Linked DNA regions of Mus musculus. Each later gene encodes a partner of the first gene's protein in a complex. Links are inferred from orthologs where the notes say so. Each region holds a gene or a part of one and is shown in the gene's direction. Other genes may lie near its edges. The genes, in order: F2, Fga, F2rl2, Thbd, Serpinc1, Fgg and Serpina5.

Evidence for each region.
Region 2: the proteins of F2 (region 1) and Fga are in contact, whole or in part, in a crystal structure (PDB 2A45), measured with the Homo sapiens proteins. The link is inferred for Mus musculus from reciprocal best matches to the Homo sapiens genes F2 and FGA. Residues at the interface, in NP_000497.1 of Homo sapiens: Phe382, Lys384, Ser385, Gln387, Leu423, Arg425, Tyr434, Glu439, Lys440, Ile441, Ser442, Met443, Lys470; in NP_000499.1 of Homo sapiens: Trp52, Pro53, Phe54, Cys55, Ser56, Asp57, Glu58.
Region 3: the proteins of F2 (region 1) and F2rl2 are in contact, whole or in part, in a crystal structure (PDB 2PUX), measured with the Mus musculus proteins. Residues at the interface, in NP_034298.1 of Mus musculus: Phe379 (codon at 653), Gln384 (codon at 668), Glu385 (codon at 671), Leu386 (codon at 674), Leu420 (codon at 776), Arg422 (codon at 782), Arg428 (codon at 800), Thr429 (codon at 803), Arg430 (codon at 806), Tyr431 (codon at 1,126), Arg433 (codon at 1,132), Lys437 (codon at 1,144), Ile438 (codon at 1,147), Ser439 (codon at 1,150), Met440 (codon at 1,153), Lys467 (codon at 1,234), Pro470 (codon at 1,243); in NP_034300.3 of Mus musculus: Thr46, Phe47, Glu48, Glu49, Phe50, Pro51, Asp54, Ile55, Glu56.
Region 4: the proteins of F2 (region 1) and Thbd are in contact, whole or in part, in a crystal structure (PDB 1DX5), measured with the Homo sapiens proteins. The link is inferred for Mus musculus from reciprocal best matches to the Homo sapiens genes F2 and THBD. Residues at the interface, in NP_000497.1 of Homo sapiens: Phe382, Ser385, Pro386, Gln387, Leu423, Arg425, Thr432, Arg433, Tyr434, Arg436, Asn437, Glu439, Lys440, Ile441, Met443, Lys470; in NP_000352.1 of Homo sapiens: Ser424, Cys425, Glu426, Cys427, Tyr431, Ile432, Leu433, Asp434, Asp435, Thr440, Asp441, Ile442, Asp443, Glu446, Asn447, Gly449, Phe450, Asp479.
Region 5: the proteins of F2 (region 1) and Serpinc1 are in contact, whole or in part, in a crystal structure (PDB 1TB6), measured with the Homo sapiens proteins. The link is inferred for Mus musculus from reciprocal best matches to the Homo sapiens genes F2 and SERPINC1. Residues at the interface, in NP_000497.1 of Homo sapiens: Leu389, Leu390, Cys391, His406, Cys407, Tyr410, Pro412, Trp413, Asp414, Lys415, Trp455, Arg456, Glu457, Asn458, Leu459, Asn506, Thr510, Trp511, Thr512, Ala513, Asn514, Val515, Gln519, Arg541, Ile542, Asp562, Ala563, Cys564, Glu565, Gly566; in NP_000479.1 of Homo sapiens: Lys258, Glu264, Asn265, Arg267, Tyr285, Glu287, Gly288, Lys289, Glu345, Met347, His351, Ala419, Val420, Val421, Ile422, Ala423, Gly424, Arg425, Ser426, Leu427, Asn428, Pro429, Asn430, Arg431, Val432, Lys435.
Region 6: the proteins of F2 (region 1) and Fgg are in contact, whole or in part, in a crystal structure (PDB 2HWL), measured with the Homo sapiens proteins. The link is inferred for Mus musculus from reciprocal best matches to the Homo sapiens genes F2 and FGG. Residues at the interface, in NP_000497.1 of Homo sapiens: His450, Pro451, Arg452, Arg461, Arg486, Ala489, Ala490, Leu493, Ile530, Val531, Glu532, Arg533, Cys536, Asp546, Asn547, Met548, Phe549, Cys550, His605, Phe607, Arg608, Leu609, Lys610, Lys611, Trp612, Lys615; in NP_068656.2 of Homo sapiens: Pro439, Ala440, Glu441, Thr442, Glu443, Tyr444, Asp445, Ser446, Leu447, Tyr448.
Region 7: the proteins of F2 (region 1) and Serpina5 are in contact, whole or in part, in a crystal structure (PDB 3B9F), measured with the Homo sapiens proteins. The link is inferred for Mus musculus from reciprocal best matches to the Homo sapiens genes F2 and SERPINA5. Residues at the interface, in NP_000497.1 of Homo sapiens: Arg383, Pro386, Glu388, Leu389, Leu390, Cys391, His406, Cys407, Tyr410, Pro412, Trp413, Asp414, Lys415, Trp455, Glu457, Asn458, Leu459, Asn506, Arg541, Ile542, Asp562, Ala563, Cys564, Glu565, Gly566, Asp567, Val588, Ser589, Trp590, Gly591; in NP_000615.3 of Homo sapiens: Gln241, Lys295, Lys296, Arg297, Thr368, Ile369, Phe370, Thr371, Phe372, Arg373, Ser374, Ala375, Arg376, Leu377, Asn378.

Annotation. Positions count from the first base shown.
Region 1 is NC_000068.7:91,626,458-91,629,957, reverse strand, and holds part of F2 (prothrombin preproprotein), read left to right. Parts: coding exon 1-8; intron 9-639; coding exon 640-807; intron 808-1,124; coding exon 1,125-1,298; intron 1,299-1,454; coding exon 1,455-1,636; intron 1,637-3,500. UniProt on the Homo sapiens protein: Thrombin, which cleaves bonds after Arg and Lys, converts fibrinogen to fibrin and activates factors V, VII, VIII, XIII, and, in complex with thrombomodulin, protein C. Functions in blood homeostasis, inflammation and wound healing.
Region 2 is NC_000069.6:83,024,782-83,028,952, forward strand, and holds the start of Fga (fibrinogen alpha chain isoform 1 preproprotein), read left to right. Parts: upstream 1-1,371; 5' UTR 1,372-1,433; coding exon 1,434-1,487; intron 1,488-3,740; coding exon 3,741-3,869; intron 3,870-4,171. UniProt on the Homo sapiens protein: Cleaved by the protease thrombin to yield monomers which, together with fibrinogen beta (FGB) and fibrinogen gamma (FGG), polymerize to form an insoluble fibrin matrix. Fibrin has a major function in hemostasis as one of the primary components of blood clots.
Region 3 is NC_000079.6:95,695,510-95,699,719, forward strand, and holds the start of F2rl2 (proteinase-activated receptor 3 precursor), read left to right. Parts: upstream 1-1,410; 5' UTR 1,411-1,554; coding exon 1,555-1,618; intron 1,619-4,210. UniProt on the Homo sapiens protein: Receptor for activated thrombin coupled to G proteins that stimulate phosphoinositide hydrolysis.
Region 4 is NC_000068.7:148,405,389-148,409,353, reverse strand, and holds the start of Thbd (thrombomodulin precursor), read left to right. Parts: upstream 1-1,165; 5' UTR 1,166-1,407; coding exon 1,408-3,141; 3' UTR 3,142-3,965. UniProt on the Homo sapiens protein: Endothelial cell receptor that plays a critical role in regulating several physiological processes including hemostasis, coagulation, fibrinolysis, inflammation, and angiogenesis.
Region 5 is NC_000067.6:160,999,083-161,002,582, forward strand, and holds the end of Serpinc1 (antithrombin-III isoform 1 precursor), read left to right. Parts: intron 1-906; coding exon 907-971; intron 972-3,204; coding exon 3,205-3,381; 3' UTR 3,382-3,458; downstream 3,459-3,500. UniProt on the Homo sapiens protein: Most important serine protease inhibitor in plasma that regulates the blood coagulation cascade. AT-III inhibits thrombin, matriptase-3/TMPRSS7, as well as factors IXa, Xa and XIa. Its inhibitory activity is greatly enhanced in the presence of heparin.
Region 6 is NC_000069.6:83,013,140-83,015,556, forward strand, and holds the end of Fgg (fibrinogen gamma chain isoform 1 precursor), read left to right. Parts: intron 1-998; coding exon 999-1,168; coding exon of another isoform or gene 1,169-1,204; exon of another isoform or gene 1,205-1,578; intron 1,579-1,695; coding exon 1,696-1,710; 3' UTR 1,711-1,917; downstream 1,918-2,417. UniProt on the Homo sapiens protein: Together with fibrinogen alpha (FGA) and fibrinogen beta (FGB), polymerizes to form an insoluble fibrin matrix. Has a major function in hemostasis as one of the primary components of blood clots.
Region 7 is NC_000078.6:104,099,765-104,103,912, forward strand, and holds the start of Serpina5 (plasma serine protease inhibitor precursor), read left to right. Parts: upstream 1-1,348; 5' UTR 1,349-1,495; intron 1,496-1,904; 5' UTR 1,905-1,917; coding exon 1,918-2,530; intron 2,531-3,379; coding exon 3,380-3,650; intron 3,651-3,965; coding exon 3,966-4,113; intron 4,114-4,148. UniProt on the Homo sapiens protein: Heparin-dependent serine protease inhibitor acting in body fluids and secretions. Inactivates serine proteases by binding irreversibly to their serine activation site. Involved in the regulation of intravascular and extravascular proteolytic activities.

The DNA of each region.
Region 1 (3,500 bases):
GCCCCCTGGTGCGTCCTGGACTGATCTACAGGCCTGCCCCACCCACGGCCGCTGCAGGACCTGGCTCCACAGATGACGCTAGCACCCACTCTCTAATTTCCCCCAGAGCTACCTCAGCCAGCTTTGCCATGTCTGCCGAGTAATTGTCAGAGATGAGGCCAAGCGAGCTTACGTGACTCATCCTCAGGCACGCTGCATAGTCAGGACTGTATCCAATTCTGATCTAGAGCTGTGCTAAACTATACGGTCTACCCTGATAGAGCTCTGGTCTTCTACGGCAGCCAAATCAATCCGAGATTTGAGCCCTGGAGGCAACCCTGTCCCACTATCTGTCTTTCTTCCTTTTCTTCCTTCCTTCCTTCCTTTCTTCCTTCCTTCCTTCCTTCCTTTCTTTCTTTCTTTCTTTCTTTCTTTCTTTCTTTCTTTCTTTCTTTCATCTTTACTTTTGGGGCGAGGGGAGGTCTTATATAGCAGAGGCTTACTTCGAACTTCTGATGCTCCTGCTTCCACATCCCAAGTGCAAGGATTACAGGCTTGCGACACCATCCTAGCCCAGTACTCTTCATCTAAGAGCCTTTCCCATTTCCAAGGCTGTTAGGGGCTGGGCTCCAGCTCCTAATGCACTCTGCTTCCCGTTAGGCAGGTGATGCTTTTTCGGAAGAGTCCCCAAGAGCTGCTGTGTGGGGCCAGCCTTATCAGTGACCGATGGGTCCTCACTGCTGCCCACTGCATTCTGTACCCACCCTGGGACAAGAACTTCACTGAGAATGACCTCCTGGTGCGCATTGGCAAGCATTCCCGAACCAGGTATGAAGCAAATGCCTGCTGGTGATTGGCTGGGTTCTGAGTGCTCATCGGGGGCTCTGGAGGCTCTGGGGTACATGGGACCCACAAGTATGAGCTTTCAGCATCCTCACTGGGCAAGCCCGTATGGCCAGGCCCTGGCCCACTCCAGACAGGAGAACATGGTCCAGGTGGAAGTCTCTTTAAATTGTGACTATTGGAGCAGTACATGTAGCATGTGCCTATCTCTGTGGGCCCACATGACTCAGAAGACTGTGTGTGACCGTGCTCAGTTAGCTGAGGATCTCATGAGTGGTTCTTCTCTGTTGGGGTCTGCACAGATATGAGCGGAATGTTGAAAAGATCTCCATGCTGGAAAAGATCTACGTCCACCCCAGATATAACTGGCGGGAGAACCTAGACCGCGATATCGCTCTGCTCAAGCTAAAGAAACCTGTACCCTTCAGTGACTATATTCACCCCGTGTGTTTGCCAGACAAGCAGACAGTAACCAGGTCAGCACTAGGGTCTCAGTTGTGATTTGGCCTGGGCTCTGAACCTTGGGGCCTGACAATCATTTGCAGGGTTCAGTTCCATGGTATAAATGCAAAAGTCATTTTCTAGAAGGCTGTCAGGGACAATTCTCATCAGGTCCTTCTCTCTCCCTAAAGCTTGCTCCGGGCTGGTTATAAAGGGCGGGTGACAGGCTGGGGCAACCTTCGGGAGACATGGACAACCAACATCAATGAGATACAGCCCAGCGTCCTGCAGGTGGTGAACCTGCCCATTGTAGAGCGGCCAGTGTGCAAGGCCTCCACCCGGATTCGAATTACTGACAACATGTTCTGTGCTGGTAAGGCTTTCTGTCTTGGGCTAGGGAAACAGCTGGGATGGGGGTTAGCAGGCATGTGGTACAGGCACAAGCCCGGGCACTTACAAGTCAGAAGACCCCAGGTAAGTGGCTGAAGCTTTTCTGAAGGTAAAAAGAACATAAAAGTTTTCATGGTGTTGAGATCTGAGGTGTGTGTGTGTGTGTGTGTGTGTGTGTGTGTGTGAGAGAGAGAGAGAGAGAGAGAGAGAGAGAGAGAGAGAGAGAGAGAGAGAGAGCAAGTGAGAGAGCAAGTGAGAGAGAGAGAGAGAGAGAGTTTTGCCAGTGATCATTAATATCTGCTCAACGAATCTAGCCCAGCAGAAGTCCTGGGTACAGAAAGAACATTCATTTAGCCACTTAGCATACATTTCTTGAATGCCTATTGTGTCCTAGACAGCACTTGGAGGGGTACTCAGCAGGAACTCAAATAGGTGGTCCTGAGAAAGCTGCCTTCCTAGAGGGGGGCTATGCCAATAAACATATCTAGAATGCATGTCCTTGATAACAGCTCTGAGGAGAGAGCAGAGTGAGGGAGACTGTAAGGGACGAGTCAACTAAAGCCAGTGGTCAGAGGGGCTGGCATCGGCCTTTTCTCAAGCAGGTTAGGCAGAGATGGGAGGAAGAGGATGAGGAATCAGACACAGAGGGAGGGTCGAAACCCGGCTTTGGGAACAGATGTAGGTGCAGGGATGCTGAGGTGGGCAAACACTTGGTTGACCTGAGGAACAGCAGGGAGGCCTGTGGGCTTGAAGAGCAGTAAACTCAGTGATCCCACGGGGAATGAGGTGAGAGAAGAGGGCCAGGTGTAGTGGTAACATCTGTAACATCAGCACACAGGGAGTGGAGGCAGGAGCATCATGTGGAACTAGAGGCTCATCTGGGTTACCGTAGATCTCTCCGAAGGCAGAGGCAAGGGGGACTCTCTTAAGCTACAGGGCAGTCAGAACTCAAGGACCTTTGGAAGAACAGTCAGTGCTCTTAACCACTGAGCCATCTCACCAGCCCAAATCCCAACTTTATTATTACTGTGGTGTTGCAGATTAAATAGAGGGCCTTGAACTAGGCAACTGCTCTAACACTAAACTATATCTCAATCCCAACTAAGTCTTAAGATTTTGGATTTCAGGGTCCCTTTGTAGTTTAGTATGTTAATAATTAATTGTGATGAAGACTGTGATTGTATGGAGTTTATTTTTAGTAACTCATTATTTTGTAATTATTGTTTCATTTGTCATCTTATTTTCCCTGTGTTATGTTTGTTTTTAAAAGTTATGTATTTAGGAGAGTGTGCATCTTGCTCTAGTGTTTATCTTTCCTTTGGGCTTATGCTACTCAAGATGCCAATCCTTCCTTCCTACTTCCCTCCCTCCCTTTCTTCCTCCCTCCCTCCCTCCCTCTTTCCCTGTATTGTGTGGATTTTTTTTTAAAGACATGGTCTCGTGTAACCTAGGCTTGAATCTACTATGTCGTTGATAGCCTTTTTGGTTTTTTCGAGGCAGGGTTTCTCTGTGTAGCCCTGGCTGGCCTTGAACTCAGAAATCCGCCTGTCTCTGCCTCCCAAGTGCTGGGATTAAAGGCGTGCGCCACCACTGCCCGGCTTGTAGCTGATAACCTTGAACTTATGATGCTTCTGCCTTTCCCAATCAATCCTCATCCAGGGCTGGGATTACAGGCACGTGCCATCATGCCCAGTTTATGCAGTTTGTGAGGTACTGGGGATCCGAATGGCTTCATGCACGCTAGGCAAGCACTCTACCAATGTACAGTACAGGCTGGTCTTGGAATGTTAACAGTGTCACCTCAGCCTCCTGGTTACAGGTGCCCCGCACACCCATACTGAACCTTT
Region 2 (4,171 bases), on another chromosome or scaffold:
GCATACTCCAAACACGGCAGAAGACATGCATACACTAAGATATATTGGTTGTCTGTCTGAGATTCAGATTTGGCTGCTCATTCTCAGTGTTTATTACTAAATACAGCACACTTAAGTCAAAGGGTTTTTTTTAATCATTTTATTGAACCGTGACTGATATGTAAAAGTGCTGTATGTTTGATGTGAAATAACCACCCCTTTGAGCTCATTAGTATATGCATCACCTTCTTTGATTATCTTTCCCTTTTCCTCTTTTTTCTTCCTTTCTGTTTCCCTCATTTCTCGTCTCCAGGAAACCACTACTGTGTCCCAGTCTCTTGAGTTGCACATTAAAGGTTTCACACGGAAGTGAAGTCACATCGTTCGCTTAGTGTGATATCCTCAAGGCTCCCGTACATTTCCCCAAATGTGTGAATTTCTTCTTTTCACAGGCTGAACAATAATCTCTTGTATCCACCCCTTTTCTTTATCCATTCATCCATTGTCTGAGGCTGCTTCCATAGTGTGGAATTGTGAACAATGAATATTCTGTTCAAAATCCAGCTGTTGCTTTTTGGGGGGGGGGGGAATATTAGTGGGTGCGTGGTTGGGTCACACAGAAGTTTCACTGAGTCCAGAAGAATTGTACATGGAAATGAAGAGCAGATGAAGAGAGATCAAGCCCAAAGGCAGGAAGTACAGTACATTTTCCATGTACTTCTCCAATCATGGCCAGCACTTCCTCCCAGGCCGTGGTGACAACCACTCCTCGGGAGGCCTTGAAATAATTCACCCATTTGTTTACTAACATGTGTAGGATGTTGCCTTTGCCCTGGTCTTTAAGAGAGGAGACTGATTCCCAAGGATGGACAGTTAACCTTCATAAGTGCTCAGAGCCAGGAAGCTGGAGCTAGGACTGTGGATGCTGGCATTGGTCGCCAGCAGCTACTGTCTTGACCTCTGGCTGGAGGAAAACAACCCGTTTAACATAAGCTTATTGTAGGCTTTCAGGTCATTCTGAAATTCAGATGAACTCTGAATCCCACACACAGTCCAATGTCTCTGCTCCACAGAAGTGATAGCCAGAGTGCCCTGGCTGCTCTCTTACTTCCTTCAGGTGTGAACTGTGTTCATCTCCCCAGCTTCCAAGGCCCCCATTTCCTGGAATGTAGATTCCCCCCACCCCCCAACTGCTGACTGCACAATCAAATGCTACCATTTGCAACAACTTATCGGAAACAAACAAGCTACAGAGAATTGAGCAAGAGTTTCTGGGATACCTTGGTTATTATGGTCAGAGCACAGGACACACTGTGAGCTTTGGCTGCTTGAGTGGGCCAAGGGTGATGATTAACCTCCTGCCGGTTTAAGTAGGGTTGGAGCTGTGAGTGCAGTCAGTCCTCCTTCGCTTCAGCTCCAGTTCTCCTCATGAGCCATCCCTAAACGCAGACACCATGCTGTCCCTGAGGGTCACCTGCCTCATCTTGAGCGTGGCCAGCACAGTCTGGGTATGTGCTTTCTCTTCTCTCTGTTAATTCTTCCGCAAGGAGCCCTGAGTTCAGAGTCTACAAGTCCTTTGTACTTAGCTTTTTAAATGCCAGGCCAGGGAGGCAAATTCTTAGATGAGCCTGACAAGTGTATGGGGAAATGTGATGTCCAGAGGGAGGCCCTAGGATAACGAGAGATCTTGACATCTGTCGTTCAGGCTGATTCAGATGCAGTCTTTAAAACTGCAGCTGTGTGTTAGTATACTCTCACGGTTGCTGGGGATTGATCCAGCATAGAATTCCTCATGCTGCAACCCTTAGATGCAGTTCCTCATGTTGTGATGACCCGCAACTAGAAAATTGTTTTTAGTTACTACTCCCTAACCTTAATTTTATTACTTTTATGAATCATAACGTAAATATTTTTGGAAATAGAGGTTTGCCAAAGGAGTCGTGACCCACAGGTTGAGAACCCCTGGGCATGGCAGTAAAGCTCTCTACAACTAAGCTACACTGCCAGCCTCCTGAATCCCTCCACATGTTTGTCCCTTTAAACTCCAGAGACATCATTCTAACAGAACAAAACACTGGGTAAGAACTGTTCTCCAGCTGGTAATTCCAGACATTTGTCTGTAATGAGCAGAAGGTTTGGGGTTTAGTATGGTTTACCTCTAGTCTTTGTTTTATTTGTAATATTTTAGTTTTGTAATGTTGTCATGTTGAGGAATGAAGCAGAGCTTTCTCTGTACTGACCAAGCAAGCGTTCTACACCCGCAGCCCTAAGAGGAACTTTTCATATCCTTTTGAAGACATAAAAGGAAGAGGGCAAATTAATTGCCTTTGAAAACGTATAGCAAATTCCGAAGACATTAGTTATGAGGCAGTGGGCTCTTTGGAAGGATTCGTGTTCTTTTCAGATAACTTCTAAATACTGACATCATTCCCCAAATTAAGCCCCAAAGAAAAACAAAAGAAAGAAATCTAAATTACTGGAGTTTCTGACACATTCTAGTTTATAAAACATGTCAACTATGACCAAGGACCTAGTGACATCCTAATTAGTTACCCAGGCTGTATATTATTTCAGGTGTTTTTTGTGGTGGTGGTGGTGGTGGTGGTGGTGGTGGTGGTGGTGGGTTTTTTGGCTCACCATTCAAAAATCTTGATATCAGAGAGTAAAGAACAATACATTTTGGAGGGAATTAAACTAAAATAACCAGCTGAGGCGATATTTCTGGGTAATTTGTACTTCTATTGTCTTCCTTGTCTCATTATTATGTGCACTTTCTGTCTGCTTCATTGTTGTGCTATTTTACTCATACAATTGAATTTACCATTATATTTCTTATACAAAAGGACTCGTTCTTTTAAATGAGTTGTTCTTCGCTGCTTTAATTATGGTAATTAGGATTATTTGAATTTTCACAAATGAGAATGAGACCATGTTGATTAATTATAAGGAAAAACTACCCCAAACTAACATAGTGACAGGAAGTCCCTTGTAAGTTGGCAGTGCAGAGCGGAGGCGATGAACGCCTCGAAGCCATCTCGACCCGTTAGACTAGGAAGTCTTATGGGACAAAATGTTTTGTATTTCATTTGGGTTATAGCTGAGAACTTTTAGCTCTAGGTTTCTAATTATAAGGTGTTCCAAAAATTGCTGGTTGCTGACTACTGCTTCAACTGTTTATTATTTTCATTTCAAATGAAAATCTACAATTGCATGATTGTACTACAAAACATTGCCAAGTTTTCACTTCCCACATTTGTGTACTTGATAACTGTTTGTCTGGATCATGGACCATCTCCAAGGGTTACCATAGAAACCTGAAGGAGAAAGGAGCATGGGTGCAACAGGGCATAGGTTTTTACATTCAGAAAGAGGACTTCAGGGAGGGAAAAAAAAAAAAACCTAGAATGTTTCAGCTATCTTCTCATCTGAGGTCACGAAAGAAAGGATAAAGGTGAAATTTCACAGATGCTTTCAATCCAGATCATTTTTCTTTTAAAACCCTTACCATCTAGCAGATGCTAACCTAGCATCAAATACAGTCTTACAAATTCACACCCTTTGTCTCCTTTGCTTCTCATAATGACTCCGTGAAATAAGTAGAATTTCCTTTTGACTGTAAGAAACTGGCAGCCTGTGGAAGCCAGCAGTACTGGCTCCTAATGTCTGCCATTTCTCCCTTGGGGCTAGTGAGCATGACAAAGTCTCTTCTGGCTAACATTGTTGCCTCCGCTCATTTTTGAATGTTTTGAAAACCCTTAAAGACTACAGATACCGAAGATAAAGGTGAATTCCTATCAGAAGGAGGAGGAGTACGTGGCCCAAGAGTTGTGGAGAGACATCAGAGTCAATGCAAGGACTCAGACTGGCCCTTCTGCTCTGATGATGACTGGGTAAGGCGAGCACACGGTGAACAAGGAACCTTCCTTATGCTGTTCTCTCTCTCTCTCCCTCTCTCTCTCTCTCTACATATATATATTCAATGGGTCCTAGAGACACCTCCCCACCAGAGATCATCTAACAGTAACATAGCTAGAAAAAATGGAAAGGAAACCAATCGAAGGACATTGTCTAGTTACATCGGGTCTCTGGTGGGATAAACATATGGGATGCCTGAGTAGTGGGACTACACAATTCCCAGAGCATCATGCAAGACTAAGCAGACCTTCATTTGAGAATTCACCTATGGCCTGTT
Region 3 (4,210 bases), on another chromosome or scaffold:
AATATTTGCCAGGCCTGAGGATGTAACTCTGTTGATAGAGTCCTAGAAGCCCTGGGTTTAGTGTCCAGCTCCACAGATCCCAGCAGCCCAGAGGCAGCAGGAGGTGGCCCAGGAGCTCAACTGCATCCTGAGTTCAAGGCAAGCCAGACTATATGAAACTCTGTCTCAAAGAACAAAATAACAAAATAAAAGATGGAGGAGGGAGGGTGTATTCGCTTCTCATGATTAATTCAGTTTATAACTATGTGATCAGTTTAGGAACTAAAATTTGAAATAAAGCACAATTTCATTTTGATTTTTGAAAAAGAAATTTCATGTTATATTTTGATCGCTTTTCCCTCTCCTCAACTTCCAGATCCTTCCTACCTCCCTAACGCCATACCCTTTCTGTCTATATTTAAACAAATAATAAAAACAGAAACAAGAAATGCATACACCAAAGCCCACAAAAGCATAACAAAATGGAAACCCAAATATACAAACAAAAAGACCATTAAGGCAGAAAAAAAAGAAAAAACAAACAAACAAACAAACAAACAAACAAACAAAGCAGTAGGAGATGAAAAGTCTGCAAAAATCCCACTGAATTTTCTTTGTGTTAGCCAACCACTCCTGGGTGTAGGGCCTACCTTGACATGTGCCTAGGGCATCCAGGAGATTCCATTGGAGGAAACCACTCTTTCCTTTGCCAGTGGGTATCAACTGCAGAACTTTCTGGGTTAGTGGTGGGAGCCCCAGTCCCCTTCCCCTCTCAGCTCTGGGACCCTCCTTGGCTTGAACCTGTGCAGGCCTTGTGCATGCTGCCTTCTCTGTGAGTTCATATGTGCACCAGTCCTGATTTATCCGGAAGACACTGTTTCCATGGAGCTATCGATCCCTTTTGGCTCTTAACAATCTTTTTGCCTTCTCTTCCGCATAGATCCCTGAGCCTTGAGGGGAGGGGCTTGATGAAGACATTGCATGTAGGCCTGTGCGCTCCAAAGCCTCTCACGCTCTACACACCATGGAACTCTGTGTTTGTTCCCATTTACGGTAAGAAGAGGCCGTTCTGACCATGGCGGAGTGAATGTCTGACTGTTACACAGGAGTGTAATGTCTGACTGTTCTTGTGTTAAATAGAAGGCGTAACTCTGGAGCTAGGGTTTTGGCATAGGGAATAGAACCGGGGCAGTGGAATTGATTCAAAGCTAATTGCTTCCCAGCACCTGTTCTCAGCTTTGTTTTGCAAGGGACTCTGCAGTCTCTGCCATTATTCCAAGCCCCTGGGAGAACTACAGCACTGGTTCTAAATGAAATAATGGAGGGGGTGAGGAAGAGATAAAAGGGATATGGCAACTCCTCCAGAGAGGCTCAGCCTGAGTCATGCACACAGACAGAAACATCAAGTGGCCACATCCTTTCTCTGTAGAGGCAAGGACGAGTCCCTGCCCACACAGTCCAGGCTGGCAGAGTTCTCAGCTTTCCACTTGCTGCTCATACATGGAGCTGAGGGGAATCTACGCTGTGACTTTGTATACTTAACAACATCCTGTAACCGGGTCTCAGGACATCAAGATGAAAATCCTTATCTTGGTTGCAGCTGGGCTGCTGTTTCTGCCAGTCACTGTTTGCCAAAGTGGTAAGTCCCCTTCTTGTGGTCTAGCATGGGGGTGAGAGAGTGGTGAGTGGATGGTTTCTGCTGTCAGAGTCAAATGCCCTAATTTTCTTGTTAACTCCTAGAAACTGTGAACCCAAAGACACAATTTGATCTGGTTTTAGCCTGGGGTAATATAGCGTGGAAATATTCAAGCTTGTTCCCAAGTCAAACCTTGTCAAAGACCAAGCGTTCTTCTCTACTAGTAGTGTCTCTACATTTGTGACAGAGTCAAGACTTTATGATTAAGTCAAAAACCACTTTTTTTTTGGCGTGAGAAGTGTTTGTATGTGTACAATGTTCAGATGTAGAAAAGATTGCACTTTTTCAAGGCATTAAAAAAATCTTTTCAAATTTCTAAATATTATAATTTCTGTTGAGGCACCGGTGGGAAAAAAAATACTGCCAGGAAAAGTAATTTGGTTTCAGCAGCCAGTGACATTAATCAGGGATGTGACGTGTTTCCAAGGTGAAATACCGTCTTTTCTTAATGTTTCAGAACCAAGGAGTTCTCTCTGTCCCTCACATATATATGTATATATGTCTGTGTGTATATATGTCTATACGGATATGTCTGTATACGATGTTTAGGCATAATTTGGTTATGTATAATTTTAGAAATAAGCTTTCCCAAATATAATTATTTCACTTTGAACATGTCTTCTATTGTGGTAGCTTATATAACTTCCTCATTGTTCTGAAATGAACTACTTTGAGACAGGATTGTATGCAGGACTCTGTCAGGCCACAGGGCAATCAATTAGGAGGAGGAACTGGGAAGAAACCAACTTAAACAAAAGGCAGCCGTCTGCAAAAGGAACGATCCTTAAATTGAGTTCCCTGCTTAAGGGGACCCATGGCAGGGGCGGTACAAGCACGGGTTGGCTAGGTTTATGGTTTCTCTGAGAGGAGAAGCCACAAAGCTGAGCCATGGTTGCAAGGAAATGAGTTATGAGAGGGAGTTCCTTCCTGATGCTAGCCTGCTTGGGAGACTGAGAAGTGAGACTTAAGGAGAGGTGGGACAGTGGGTTCGAAGTCTGCCTTGGAGAGATGTGAGGTGGGGTGTGTGTGGCTGAGGGCCATTCTCTTTGGATTAGACTCTCTGAAGCCTTCTCCCAGGCGGGGAGCATTTCAGAAACACTGCACCAAATGGAAACCAAAAAAAAAAATCCTAGTCAGTTGCGTGTCGTTTTATAAATAACATTGAACAAGGAGCACGATTCTGAAGGAAAGACAGTTTCTAACGAATAGAAGATCTAGGGGGTGCCCGATCTGAAATATTCGGGGAGCAGTCTCCTTTCTGTGTGTTTGTAGACACGTATCTTGCCCAAGCACAGGACTCTCCTGAAAGCTGACTAGTGCTTGGTTTCATCAGCTTTCTCATCAGACCTTGGAGGGAAGAAATTTGTATACATGGTTCTGCCAGCTTCCTTTACAGGTGTTGTTTTGAGTGATATCAGACTTGGCTTTACCCAAATGTGCACGTGCAGAAGGATTTAAGTGGCTGAGCTCAGACGTAACAGGACATTCCAATAATGCTCGCATCTAAACTCAGGCACATGGAATGCTACCTTCCAAAGTAGTCTTTCCCTGGAGGACACAGCGTCACCTTCACTTACCAGTTGTTCGGACAACACCGATTCTGCCCGCTACATTGAATTCAGCCTATGCAAACTCCCAAGTCTGGGAGAGCAAGGGCCAGAGATAAAAATCAGAAAGAGAACATGGGTCAGTCTACTGAACATCACCCTGGAAGAGTTAAAATGGGGGATGCAGGAGTTTTGTGTCCAGACCTCAGTGGGAGGGCACTAGCTTTTCGAATGGGAATGTAAAAGGCTTCTATTGGCATTTGAAGAATTGATTAACGGGAACTGGCTGAGCTGTGCCAAGCATCTAAAACACATAGCTGATATGTTTCTTTCATTTAAAAAATTCATTTTGCTGGGTGGTGGTGGTGGTGCATGCCTTCAATCCTAGCACTAGGGAGGCAGAAGCAGGCGGATCTCTATGAGTTCAAGGCCATCCTGTTCTATAGGATGAGCTCTAGTACAGCTAGGGAAATTACACAGAGAAACCCTATCTTAAAAAACCAACAAAACAAAATCATTTTAATGCCTCAGGTTATCACAGTGAGTTCATCTTTTGTTTCTTTTCTCGTTGTCTTAAACCTGGCATTTCCCTTAAGCCCATCTTGTTTGGCTTCTTCCCATATTTCTCTATCGGCCCTCTCTCTACTCCCCAAGTTAAACTACAGCCACTGTGAAGACTAAGAAAGTCACACTTCACAATTGCTCTTGGCTTTTGGGAATGCCACATCCAGTCATTCCATTTTGACCACATGGCCAATCTAGGATTCTGCTCCCATCTCCTGATTCCTAACTAAATAACCCCTTTCCCCATGGGATAACACATCATGGGTTCTAGGAGCCGGCACATGGAACCTTGGGTCGAGTGAAATGTTATTCTATCTACCCTGGTAGCCATCCCTTTGCAAATTCTGTGCACAAGGGGGAGGGGGCAGTGTGGCTCAGTGGTAAAGCAGTTTAATTACCAACATGTGGTGGCGAGGAGACGGGT
Region 4 (3,965 bases), about 57 Mb from region 1:
GGAAGTGACTGCCACGGAGTGCAGGGTCCTCTTGGTGTGTGTGTGTGTGTGTGTGTGTGTGTGTGTGTGTGTGTGTGATGACGCGCACGCTTGGGGAATAGGCAGATGAGAGAGGTGGGGAGGAGGTGGCTAAGCTTTGATTTGAACACAGCCCTCCACATTCTTGGTGAGTGCTTAGCATCTAAAAGTCTTAAGTGACAGATTCCCTTCCTCCCCTCCCAGCTGCCCACAAGACACTCCTCTTCAATGCCCTTTGTGAGCAAACGGATTGTGTAGGCACCTCTATCTTTTGAGACTCTCAAATGACGATGGAAATGATCACGTCAAAAGGAACCAAGTAGGCTCTATTGTAGCTCATACAGTCTCCTTGCAAAGCCCCCTCCCCCCCTCCCCACCCCGGGGCCAGTTTCATTGAGGGGTCTGAGATAGGCTTGGAGGAAAACAAAACAAACCAGAACAAAGGAACGCAACACACCTTCCCCAGAGGATTCTGCAGGAATTGAACTGGGAAAGGGGGCCATGATCTCTGAGCCCAGACAAAACTTGCACGATGTTCTCAAGCAACTAGATAGGGTCTGGCCTTGGAGATGCCTGCTCAGAACAGGAGAGGAATGGAGACTGGAGAAGGGTTTGGGGTTATTAGACCACTCTCTCCTCTTGCTGCCCTAGTATTGTTTCCCCTGGCCTCCTCCAAGGTCATTTGGGACCTAAACCTCCGATTGTCAATGCAGCCAGGCTTCCTGAGTTCCTGCCTTGCATTTAGCTCACCTTTTTCAGAGTCTTGCAAGTCTCAGACACACCTCTACTGGACTTTTCTTTTCCCTGCCCCACCAACCGGACCATCTTCCAAACTTTGGTAGCATCTATGTGGAAGTGTGAGTGTGAGTGTGTGTGTGTTCGCGTCTGAGTGTGTGTACGTGTGTAGAGGTTTAAACACAGGCTACCCGCGGGCTATACCGGAGAGTCTGGGGCAGGAACTGTCGTCTTGCTGACACAGTTCTGTTCTGTGGTGGCGCCTGCAGGCCACGCCCGAGGGCCTCCCAACGCCCAGACAGACTTTTTAACTCATCGCGCAGAGGTGATCCCAGGCTGGAGGGCGGGCGCAAGGCGTCCGGAGAACCCAGTAATCCGAGAACGCAGCATCAGCCCTTCCCACCAGGCACTTCCTTCCTTTTCCCGAACGTGCAAAGAGGGAGGGCCGCGCATTTATAAACTGGAGCTTCAGCGGAGTGGCATGTTAGAGGCTGCCTCGCAGGGACTAGGAGCCTGGGCTAGAAACGTCTAGGTTGTGATAGAGGCTAGCTGCTGTCGCCGCAGGCATACGGAAACCCCTCTGCCTGGACTGGGTGTCTGCACCAGCGCAGGGCTAGCTTTTCTCGGAACTTGCACGGTGCACCCCTGGACAGCATGCTTGGGATTTTCTTTCTGGGTGTGCTGGCTCCAGCTAGCCTGGGGCTCTCCGCACTAGCCAAGCTGCAGCCCACAGGCAGTCAATGCGTGGAGCATGAGTGCTTCGCGCTTTTCCAGGGCCCCGCGACCTTCCTCGATGCCAGCCAGGCCTGCCAGCGCCTGCAAGGACATTTGATGACAGTGCGCTCCTCAGTGGCTGCCGATGTCATCTCCCTTCTGCTGAGCCAGAGCAGTATGGATTTAGGGCCCTGGATCGGTTTACAGCTCCCGCAGGGCTGTGACGACCCGGTGCATCTCGGGCCCCTGCGCGGCTTCCAGTGGGTTACTGGCGATAACCACACCAGTTACAGCAGGTGGGCGCGGCCCAACGACCAGACGGCTCCACTCTGCGGCCCTCTGTGCGTCACGGTCTCGACAGCAACTGAAGCTGCACCCGGCGAGCCGGCCTGGGAAGAGAAGCCATGCGAGACTGAGACCCAGGGTTTCCTCTGTGAGTTTTACTTCACAGCTTCCTGCAGGCCTCTGACGGTGAATACTCGCGATCCTGAGGCTGCCCACATCTCTAGTACCTACAACACCCCGTTCGGGGTCAGTGGTGCGGACTTTCAAACGCTGCCGGTAGGCAGTTCCGCCGCGGTGGAGCCCCTTGGCTTGGAGCTGGTGTGCAGGGCCCCGCCCGGAACTTCAGAGGGACACTGGGCTTGGGAAGCGACAGGAGCCTGGAATTGCAGCGTGGAGAATGGTGGCTGTGAGTACTTGTGCAATAGGAGCACGAATGAACCCAGATGCCTCTGCCCCAGAGACATGGACCTGCAGGCCGATGGACGTTCGTGTGCAAGACCTGTGGTTCAATCGTGCAACGAACTCTGCGAGCATTTTTGTGTCAGCAACGCTGAAGTGCCAGGCTCTTACTCCTGTATGTGTGAGACAGGCTACCAGTTGGCTGCAGACGGACACCGGTGTGAGGACGTGGATGACTGTAAGCAGGGGCCCAATCCATGTCCCCAGCTCTGTGTTAACACCAAGGGCGGCTTCGAATGCTTCTGCTATGATGGCTATGAGTTGGTGGATGGAGAGTGCGTGGAGCTTCTGGATCCGTGTTTCGGATCTAACTGCGAGTTTCAGTGCCAGCCAGTGAGCCCCACCGACTACCGATGCATCTGCGCTCCAGGCTTCGCACCCAAGCCGGATGAACCGCACAAGTGCGAAATGTTCTGCAATGAAACTTCGTGCCCAGCAGACTGTGACCCTAACTCTCCTACTGTTTGTGAATGCCCTGAAGGCTTCATCCTGGACGAGGGTTCCGTATGCACGGACATTGATGAGTGCAGTCAAGGCGAATGCTTCACCAGTGAATGTCGAAACTTCCCTGGCTCCTATGAGTGTATCTGCGGGCCTGACACAGCCCTTGCTGGTCAGATTAGCAAAGACTGTGACCCCATCCCTGTTAGGGAAGACACCAAGGAAGAGGAGGGCTCTGGGGAGCCTCCAGTCAGCCCTACGCCAGGCTCTCCGACAGGTCCCCCTTCTGCAAGGCCAGTGCACTCTGGCGTGCTCATTGGCATCTCCATTGCCAGCCTGTCCCTGGTGGTGGCGCTTTTGGCGCTTCTCTGTCACCTGCGCAAGAAGCAGGGCGCTGCTCGTGCAGAGCTGGAGTACAAGTGCGCATCTTCCGCCAAGGAGGTAGTGCTGCAGCACGTCAGGACTGATCGGACGCTGCAGAAGTTCTGAGGGATTTGCTCCAGAGACCCAGGTGGCCTTTGTCTTTCCGGGCTCTGTACCTCTCCTCTCCTCTCTCTCTCTCCAGCCTCCCAGCTGTGTTCTCTGGCAACTTAAAAGCACCCTGGCTGGTATAATAACCAGAGAAGAGCCCATCCTCTCAGGACAAGCGAGGGTAGGGAGGACTTGAAGCAGGACAGCCCAGTTTCTTCCAAGTAGATACTGGACAACTGGGCGGAGGTGGCAAATACAGCGGAGATCCCAGAGTACCCCAGTCCCTCACCTCACCTCCTAGTGCTGCTGATCTGTAGGCTTGAAGGCAAACCTTGACCCCATGGGCTGGAGATGACCCAGATATTTATTTTTTTTAAAGTATTTAGTATTTTCTTCCCTCCAGTTTTCTTCTGCTTGTAAGTCTCCAGCCCCCCACAGCTTTCTCAGTCCCTCCATTCCCCCCCTCCTGTCATTCTCCTCCCCAAACCTGATCATAACTTTGCCCTTACCGTTGTTTCCAAACTCTTATGTGAAACAGAAAAGAAACACTAAAAGCAGAAAACGTTCTTTTTCACTGGCTTTGGGTATTTAGTCAGAAATTTCAGGTAACCAAAGCAAAAGAATTTTAACAAAAGCTAAAATATTTCAGCTGAACACTAACTAGTCAATAGTGCTGGAATGTCACAGAAAATAAACTTAAGGAAGTAGGGTTTTTTTTTTTTTTGAAATCTTTGTTTTTGAAAGGGTGAGCCTGGGTTTTATGATTGTTGCTGTTGTTTTGAATGGGAATGACAAAAGAGGTCATTATTGTTAAGATTTTTATGCAGGCTCTACAGTGTTAT
Region 5 (3,500 bases), on another chromosome or scaffold:
CAGGGTTTCTCTGTGTAGCCCTGGCTGTCCTAGAACTCACTCTGTAGACCAGACTGGCCTCAAACTCAGAAATCTGCCTGCCTCTGCCTCACAAGCGCTGGGATTATAGGTATGCACCACCACGCCCGGCATAAGGTCAGCTTGATTTAGAGAGTAAGTTTCTGGATAGTCAAGGCTACACAGAGAAACCCAGTCTTAAAAAAAACAAAATAAGCCAGGCGTGGTGGCACACGCCTTTAATCCCAGCACTCGGGAGGCAGAGGCAGGCAGATTTCTGAGTTCGAGGTCAGCCTGGTCTACAAAGTGGGTTCCAGGACAGCCAGAGCTATATAGAGAAACCCTGTCTCAAAAAACAAAACAAACAAACAAACAAAAAACAAAAAAAAAGAAAAGAAAAAAAACAAAATAAGTAAGTAAATAAATAGTTAATTTAACTCAAGTTGTCAGGGTTAGTGGCACATTCCCTTACCCGATGAGCAATCTCATTGGCCCGCAGAGCTGGGTTCAGTGGCACACAATTGTAATCTCAGCCCTCCAGGCTGGGGCAGGATGACAGTTTAAGGCCAGCTCAGGCTACACAAAGATCCTATCTAAAAATTACTTAGACTTAGGTAATTAGATTTTTCTTTATTGGGCTATCTTTAGCTTTGAGAGCCAAACCTCTTAAAAACGTTACCATACTGGAAAGACATATTTTTGCTAGATATAGTAAAGTTTTTGAGAGGAGAGTCCCACCCTTCCACCTTCTCAAAAAAGTTGACATCAGATTAAGTTCACAAGATCCAGGTCAAAGAAGCCAAAATGAATCAGTTTTTAAGAGGTATCCATTGAGGGGGTGAGGGGTATTATTAGGGAGGCTCAGCAGCCTGCTTCTCAAGACACAGCCCCCCCTTCTTGTTCTTCCAGGGATCGTTGCTGGAGGCAGGGACGACCTCTATGTCTCCGACGCATTCCACAAAGCATTTCTTGAGGTGAGTTCAGTTCCCTCCACCCGCTGCCTTTTTTTTTTTTGCATTTTATCAATCTGTGTTCCTGGAGTTTCTTGCTGCTCTTCTGGTGGAGACAGCTGGTCTATTAGCAGCAGAGGATTGTGGCAGAGGCATCTCGGCAGGGTCCCTCTAAATCATGTACATATGGAGAAGCTTGTAGCCTCCGCCATGAGGTCTGCCTCAGGATGGCACTTCAAAGGAGCCCTCAAGCTTTGACTGTTTGGCCTTCTCTCCTGCTAGAGAGACATAGAGGGTAGCCCAAGGAAAAGGAGCCAAAGGAGCCGGCAAAGGCCATGGAGAGGGAATTCTGAGATGTTTCAGGAATGTGAAAAGCATGGAGTAAGACTGAAACCGATTCTGGACAGAATGGGGAGGGACACGTGCGTAAGTGAAGAAGGTGAAGAACAAATGAACATAAGACAGGGGGTTGCTAATGAGTATGGCTCACCTTAGCGTCAAGGGCGTTCTAGAACAATCTTGATATATAGCATTTCAGGAAACTCAGTTAGGTGGGCACATGTTGATCTTCTTGGGAGATTAACTACACACAGTGGTATGCTGAGACTGAGAAGTCCCAGGGAGGAAATGGGTAGAGCACTGATGAGCCTGTCTTCCCCCAACTAAGGTGCACATAGAATTGTATGTTAGCCAAGTAGTGACAGGTTGTAGAAATTCTCGTTCTTAGGTACTGAAGTGTGGACCGTAAAGGTGGGGATCCTTAACCCTGGAGGCTGAAGGATGGAATCTAGGAATTTTTTTCTTTTTTCTTTTTGGTTTTTTTCGAGACAGGGTTTCTCTGTAGAGCCCTGGCTGTCCTGGAACTCACTTTGTAGACCAGGCTGGCCTCAAATTCAGAAATCTGCCTGCCTCTGCCTCCTGAGTGCTGGGATTAAAAGCGTGCACCACCGCTGCCCGGCGAATTTTTTTTCTTTTTGTTGATTTGTGTTTTGAGAAAAGTTTTCTTCCTGTAGCCCTGGCCATCTTGAAACTTGTTGAGAATCTGTTTCTTAACACAGATCCTTGGGAGATTTTTATAAGTAGGTTCGAGGTCCAGTGGTGTAGGCTGTTCTTCGTGGAAGCTAAGACTGTGAGCAGAAGGGCCAACGATAGACAAAGCTAACAGGACTTGGGTTTGCAAAGAAAGGCTGCAATTAGAGAGAAATATCCAGAGTATGGTGCCAGAGAACTAATTCTAGGATCCAAGCAAGCTTAGTGGCAACTTAAGGAAGCAGAAGGTGAGGGACAGGAGGTGAGAACTTGCTGAATTGCAACTTCACATCACTTAAATTTAGTCCCAGAATGAGCATGAAATAGATGTGGGACACCAAAGGGAAGGAAAAAAAAAAAAAAACCCACATTAACCAGCCCCTCAAAACACAGAGATTGCAAGTACTTTATTAATAGTCAGGGACAGGAGGCCAAGGCAGGAGAATTTCCACAAGTTCCAGGCCAGCCTTGTCTATATAGAACATTAAAGGCTAGCAAGGTGTACACACACACACACAGAGGCCAGCCTGGTCTATACAGAACATTAAAGGCTAGCAAGGTGTACACATGTACACACACACACACACACACACACACACACACGGGAATCAGGATCTTAAATGGCAAGCTAGCCTCGGTACTAGAATGCACAGCAAGATCCTACCCCCGACAGGTCAGTATGTCAACAGTTGTCATTTTCTGAAGGCATCCCTTCAGATGTGCCATTGTTCAAATGCTGAGTTTTTTTTTTTTTTTTTTTTTTTTTTTTGGTTATTACTCCAAAAAACCCACCTCACTTAACTGGAGAACTATCTTTTCATAAGCCACAGGTTCTTGGTGGCTTTTGGGGGGTGGTAGTGATAGCTGGGATTTCTTTATGCTTTGAGAGTGAATCTATTTAAAGTGCAGATCTCCAAGTTTGAGTCTGAGTTTTCTCTTCGCAGTTGGTTTAAAACAATGCACTGTTGCATTCGACAATGTTTAACCATGCTACCAGAATGTGACTTCTAGCTCAGGGATTACACTTGTGGCATTCTTGCAAGGCTTTGGATGAGCCCAGTGCATTGTACACACTGGAGGTTAAGAACAGTAGGTTTCTGGAGGGAACCATTTGCGTCCAGGTGTTAGTTACTAGAAACCAGCAGTGTGAGCGCTGGGTCTGGGTGTGATTTATGTGCCTAGGGTGGACTGGAGGGTAGCTAATATTTGTTTCCTATGTGACCTGCAGGTAAATGAGGAAGGCAGTGAAGCAGCAGCGAGTACTTCTGTCGTGATTACTGGCCGGTCACTGAACCCCAATAGGGTGACCTTCAAGGCCAACAGGCCCTTCCTGGTTCTTATAAGGGAAGTTGCACTGAACACTATTATATTCATGGGGAGAGTGGCTAATCCTTGTGTGAACTAAAATATTCTTAATCTTTGCACCTTTTCCTACTTTGGTGTTTGTGAATAGAAGTAAAAATAAATACGACTGCCACCTCACGAGAATGGACTTTTCCACTTGAAGACGAGAGACTGGAGTAC
Region 6 (2,417 bases), on another chromosome or scaffold:
GTCTTTTATTTTATCACTCTTCATTTGAAATCAGAATTGGATACCACTCATTATCCAACTGGCATTATCTTTAATAATAGTAAGCTTTTTGCCTACGGTGGTTACCTCCATAGGTCCCCCAACTCCTAGGAAGCATCAGGGTTTTGATATTGCACTGAAATTCTTATTATCTCAGCTGGAATTTGGGGCCATGGTGTCTCTTTTGGACCTACCATGTATATAATGTAGATGAACTAGCACACCATGCCTGTGCTTGTGGATGGATACATTACCCTGGCTCAGCTGTCTGTGAACTGTATGTCAGACACAGCAGTGGGCAGTGGATAGATGTCAGAAGAAATGACGTGAGAGGCACAAATTTAGTAATAAGAGTGAAAAGTCACGGAAGCCTGGGTGAAGGGTCTAGACCGGGGATTGCAGGTGCTTGTTTTAGCATGGCGGGGGTGATGGTTTCTGTAAGGCTGAAGGAGTTTAGAACACTGATTCCACTCATCACCTAGCAGTTCTGTATGGAGAGACTCCAGGGATACTAAAGGATCTTTTAAGAAGTTCTGGAATGTGATCCCCATCTATTGATGAGAAACTTCATGGTGAATGACTTTCTAGAGAAACTCCCTAAAGCCCTTGATAGCATTTTCCGTTAGCCAAACAATTATGTTGTCATGCGCTGTCAGACAAACTGATCAGGAATCTGTGGCTCCTATCACAAATTCATATACTCTAAGGGAGGTGGGCAGAGAGAGAGAGAGACAGAGAGAGACAGAGATGACAGACAGAGACAGACAGAGAGGTGTTCTAGCCCTGACAAAAAAATGGATAAATTTTAAGTATTGACATGATCACCAAAATTGCTTATTGGCTTTTGGAATCAATCTCTAGGGATGTTGTCAATTAGGAGGAAGTGCTGTAGACTTCACGGTAATTCGAATTGAACTTTAACCAGCTAAGGAAATGTAAAGGAAAAAACGACCCATGCATGTGCCTCTGGCTCCTTGCAGGTGGTACTTACTCAAAATCATCTACTACTAATGGTTTCGACGACGGCATTATTTGGGCGACCTGGAAAAGCCGCTGGTATTCTATGAAGGAAACCACCATGAAGATAATTCCCTTCAACAGACTCTCCATCGGAGAAGGACAGCAGCATCACATGGGGGGATCCAAACAGGTCAGCGTGGATCATGAAGTTGAAATTGAATACTGATCAATCATCTGCCTGGAAGTTTTTAAAATAGATATAAAAAATTAACTATTAACTCCTATTGGCCTGTACAGAGTTCCAATGATTTCCTCAATTTTTCTTTACTCTATTTATTAATTTTTGTCTTTCTTAACATGATACCTAGCCTTAAATGGAAATTAAAATCTATTTGAACCGTATTTCTAAATTACTTGAGTCAAAGTTATTAAGTATTGTTTATTCGAAGAGACAGTTTGTTTGACCTTTCCTCTAAACATTAAAAGTAAAACTACTGTTCTTTGTTTACTTTATAATCAGCTGTAATTATTGTTTTGTTTTATTATTTCTTGAGTATTTTTAGTATATACTAATAAAATAGGAGAAAATTATAGAACTTGACCTGTATATTTTTCTCATGTTATTTTATCTCGACATCATTAATATTTAATTCTTTTTTACGAAATAAAACAAGTTATATTTTTTAATATATCTTTTGTTTTATTATATATTCATAGGCTGGAGACGTTTAAAGAACATTTCAAAGCTGGTTTGCTTTTTTAAAGGACTTTATCCAAGCAGAGAACTATACTATTTTTCCTATGGGACAATGGACTTTCAGGACCTCACTTCATTTTCAGAGTTAATGGGATCCATGGTGCAAACTCCATTAGCAGTTTTATGCTGGCGATAATTTATCTACGTGCATTGCAATAAACATTTCGTTTCCTAAGATGAGACATTCCGTGGCTTTTTTGAAAACCCTTGGAAAAGCATTGCTTTCCCTCAATTACTGTTAGTTGCCGAGTTCACATGTTATGGCTACATAGTATCCAAGCCCAGGGGAGCTGGAGGGAAAGAAAAGACATGGCTCTTACCGTCCATGGTTCTTACCCTCCAAGGGGTATGAAACACTCAGAATGCAGCAGCTCAGGATGATGGATGCAACAAACTAATGTTCGCTATAAGAACATAAACACAAGTCACAGAGCCCCAAGCATATACCCAAGGCACATCATAGACTAAATACACACTGCTAGAGTAAGCTATTGGGAGATTCTTTGAGAGGAACCTTCAGCTCCAAGCTCCTGTAGCCAGTATATCACACAGAGCTGTTATTTAGAGCAGGGAACTGAGAGACAATCTGTTCGTCTCACGGGTGAGCCAGGAGGTGAGCAGAAGGAACCAATTACTTGTTCTAGGTGGGAGTTATTGAGATCTCGGGGCCTTGACTCAGCTA
Region 7 (4,148 bases), on another chromosome or scaffold:
ATAACTTATGCTATTTTTTATGCTATTTTTACTTTTTAAATAACATGTAAAATAACTTTATTTTTATAACGTTTTCTATTTTTTTTAATATCATGAGACCTTTTAATAGTCATGTAGATAAACCTCCTTTTTGTTTTTTAATGTAAAACTGGTTGGGAAAGAGTTTTCAGAGCAGTTATCTCTCAGGCAAAGGCGGGTCAATGATGGACTGTTGTGCCTAGGAGACTGGGCTCTTTGTAGTCTGAACCTGGGTTCTGAAATCTGTGCAGCCACTGTTGTGAGTTTTGACTGTGTCCTCAACATGCACACACACACACACACACACACACACACACACACACACACACACCACATAGGCCCTCACCCCACAACCCCTATACCTATCCTGTACTGGGGAGAAATCTAGCAAAACCAAGCAGGCTGTTTGTTAGGGTAAGGATGCTGAAGTTTAGCTCTCCATGATAGCTGGTTCCTGGTGGTTGTGGAGGTGGACAGACTCACTCATCTTTAAGGAGCTGGCCAGCAGGAGTTTGACCATGTTCTGGCGAGTATATGGACAACACAAACTGGACTTGTTTTTTCTATCTTTGGGGGCAGTGGTGCACAAGAGGTGGGGAGCGGGCCTGGGGGGCTGGGAAGTAAGGGTAATGGGATACATTGTCAAATTCCCAAATAACCAATAGCAATATTATGTTAAGAAGACAACTTTACTATCTTTTGTTTCACTCTTGAAGTTTCTACCCCTTTCTTCAGGTGGTCTCTCTGGGGATACTTTTTAATTTTTAAATTTCTCTATGTGTTATGGCCATATTTACTCTTTTTCTCATATTCAGGCGTCCCTGTTTAGTCACTACTTGACTTGGACCATACAGTCATTTTTTTTTTGTAACAATGCCGAGGGGGGAGGTGGGATCAGGAGGCCATAAGCTAGAGAAGATACAGTTAGGGATCAGGAAGTCCAGCTTTCACATGCTGGATCTTATACCAAGCAAGCTTCTTTTAAAAGTACAGTATCTTATATACCAAGTCCAGGTAAGAGATGAGACAGAGTCAGCAGAAACTGCCACACAATGGGACAAAGCCAGAGGGAAGCTAATCAAACAATGTTGCGCAAGGAAAACATGATATCTCAAGAACATTCCAGACTGAGCACACGGCAGCCTTGGAATTGATGACACCAGTCTCTTCAGGGGAAAAAGCTAAGTCCCAGGAATAGAAACCTTAACAAGTTCAAGGCTCCAGCCTCGGGCTCTGGCTGGCATTGCCAAGCACATTCTTAGACAAAGAAACAGAAGTACATTTATTCTGTCCTTTTATCGGGGACCCTACGAAAATCTTAGATCAACCCAGCTCCCAATGAAGCAGAGCTGGAGTGGGGTGGAGACAGAGTCTCTGCGGTCAGTGACATTTGCCGGCTGCAATTCCTCTGCTCTGCTCTCTGTCCTCTTGTAAGCCAGGTGGACTATACCTTGACACTCAGCCACCACGATACAGAGTGAGTACACCTGCTGGGGTAGGACCTGTGGCATTATGGATGTGTGTGGGTGTAACATAGCTGAAGCCAAGGAACCCTGCGAATGAGGCATAATGCAAAATCCTAAACTTACTTAAAATATTATGAGGAAAAAATGTTTTGTTTTTTGTTTTTGATTTTGATTTTGTTTTAACTCCATTGCATACCGGTCTGTAAGTCTACCTTGAGCAGTTAGTTGCCTGCTTCATCTGATCGTCCCAGAGCACTGAGTACCACTGCTTCTCTTTACAGCCTCATGGTCTAGTTTCCTTCTTACCCTCTTGGAGGGGACATGGGGACATCTTTGCAGATGTCAGCCTACTCATTGTGTCTCTCACTTTGACTCACAACTGTTCCCTCTCCAAGAACATTTTTCTCTTCTCCCCTCCAGAGCTGTCACCACAATGAGGTTCTTCCCCATTCTGTGCCTGGTGCTGTTCATCAGCCATGGGGTGGCTTCCCGCCGACACTCCCATTCCAAGAAGAAGAAGGCTAAAGAGTCCTCGGTGGGTGCTGTGGGACCTCCCAGTAGCAAAGACTTTGCTTTCAGACTCTACAGGGCCTTGGTTTCTGAATCCCCTGGTCAGAATGTCTTCTTCTCCCCCTTGAGCGTGTCTATGAGTTTGGGCATGCTCTCCCTGGGGGCTGGCTTGAAGACGAAGACCCAGATCCTAGATGGCCTAGGCCTCAGCCTCCAGCAAGGCCAAGAAGACAAGCTCCACAAGGGCTTCCAACAGCTGCTACAGAGATTCAGGCAGCCTAGTGATGGCCTGCAGCTGAGCCTGGGCAGTGCCCTTTTTAAAGACCCAGCAGTACATATCCGGGACGACTTCCTGAGTGCCATGAAGACACTGTACATGTCAGACACTTTCTCTACCAACTTTGGGAACCCTGAAATCGCCAAGAAGCAGATCAACAACTATGTAGCCAAGCAGACCAAGGGCAAGATTGTAGACTTTATCAAGGATCTTGACAGCACCCATGTCATGATAGTGGTAAATTACATCTTCTTCAAAGGTAAGCCTTGGGCTCCAACTTGAACTTTTTCCTCTTTTCTGTTTTTATTAAAAGATAGCATTCCCTCCCTGATAAAAGAACAAGCCACCCAAGTGCCAGCTGGGTAGAAGGAAAGCTGCCTCATGGGAGACAGAACCTGCTTATCAGCCTGTCAGTGATTCCACAGTCAGGAGCTGGTCTTTGTCATAGACATCATGACAAAACAACCCTGACTGTCAAACCCACTAGAAACAGGATATGGATCTGATCAGGGCTAAGAAGGCAGGAAACAGGAGGGGTCAGAGGCTACTGAAAGCAAATGTCTGTTGCCCTGCCAAGACACCATGGCCAGGACATATTATTGAAGAAAAAATAATCACGTTATTAGGATTGGCTTATAGTTTCAGAGTCTATGACCATCTCAGTAGGAAGCACGGTAGCAGGCAGACAGGTGTGCTGCTGGAGCAATAACTGAGAGCTTACATCTGATCCACAAACACTCAGCAGAGAGGCAGGAAACTGGTGAGAGTGTTTGAAACCTCCAAGCCTTCTCAATGTCGTACCAATAAGTGCCTCACCTCCTAATCCTTCCCACAACAACTCAACCAACCAGGGACCAAGCATCCAAACATATGAGCCTGTGGGGGCCATTCTCATTCAAACCAGGAGGAAAGGAGGACAGGCCCATAAAAGGTTCAGGCTACCCAGAACTTTGAGGGGATTTGGCCTCTGGGGCCAAGGGGTGTGGGTGCTGCTGTTGTTGAGGTTGCTCTGTAGAGACACTCTTTGGATTGTCTCCTTTCTACAGCCACAGCCAAGGGTCTCCCATTTTTACTCAGTTCTCTTTAATTCCTTCTCCTTCATCTTTAGCCAAGTGGCAGACGGCCTTCAGTGAGACAAACACCCACAAGATGGATTTCCATGTGACCCCCAAAAGGACCACACAGGTGCCCATGATGAACCGTGAAGATGGGTATTCCTACTACCTGGACCAAAACATCTCCTGCACGGTGGTGGGGATCCCTTATCAAGGCAATGCCATCGCTCTATTTATTCTCCCCAGCGAGGGCAAGATGAAGCAGGTGGAGGATGGCCTGGATGAGAGAACATTGAGGAACTGGCTTAAGATGTTCACCAAAAGGTACTCTCTAGGCCATCTGGGGGCCACATCCTTCTACCCATGTCAGGAAGACCTCACAGTACTACTGGAAAGGACTCCTCAGGCAGTGAGCTAGCTCCAAACTTAAATGTTACCCATCAAGTCTTCAGTCCAGGACATGACCCAGCTTGAGGGATAGCTGAGGTTCTAGGGTGACACCAGAGAGGGAAGCTCAAGTAAAGTACAAAGCAAGGGAGACTCCAAAGAGGAAGGTTCCAGAAAGTCAGTGACGCTGCAGCAGAGAGTGGCAGCAGCAAGCTCATGGTGTCTAAGAATGACCTTCTGTACTCTCTCCAGACGCTTAGATCTTTACCTCCCCAAGTTCTCCATTGAGGCTACCTACAAACTGGAAAATGTCCTCCCCAAGCTGGGCATCCAGGACGTCTTCACCACCCATGCTGACTTGTCTGGCATTACTGACCATACCAATATCAAGTTGTCTGAGGTGAGTCTAGAAGCTCCTGAGCACCTGATTTCAGA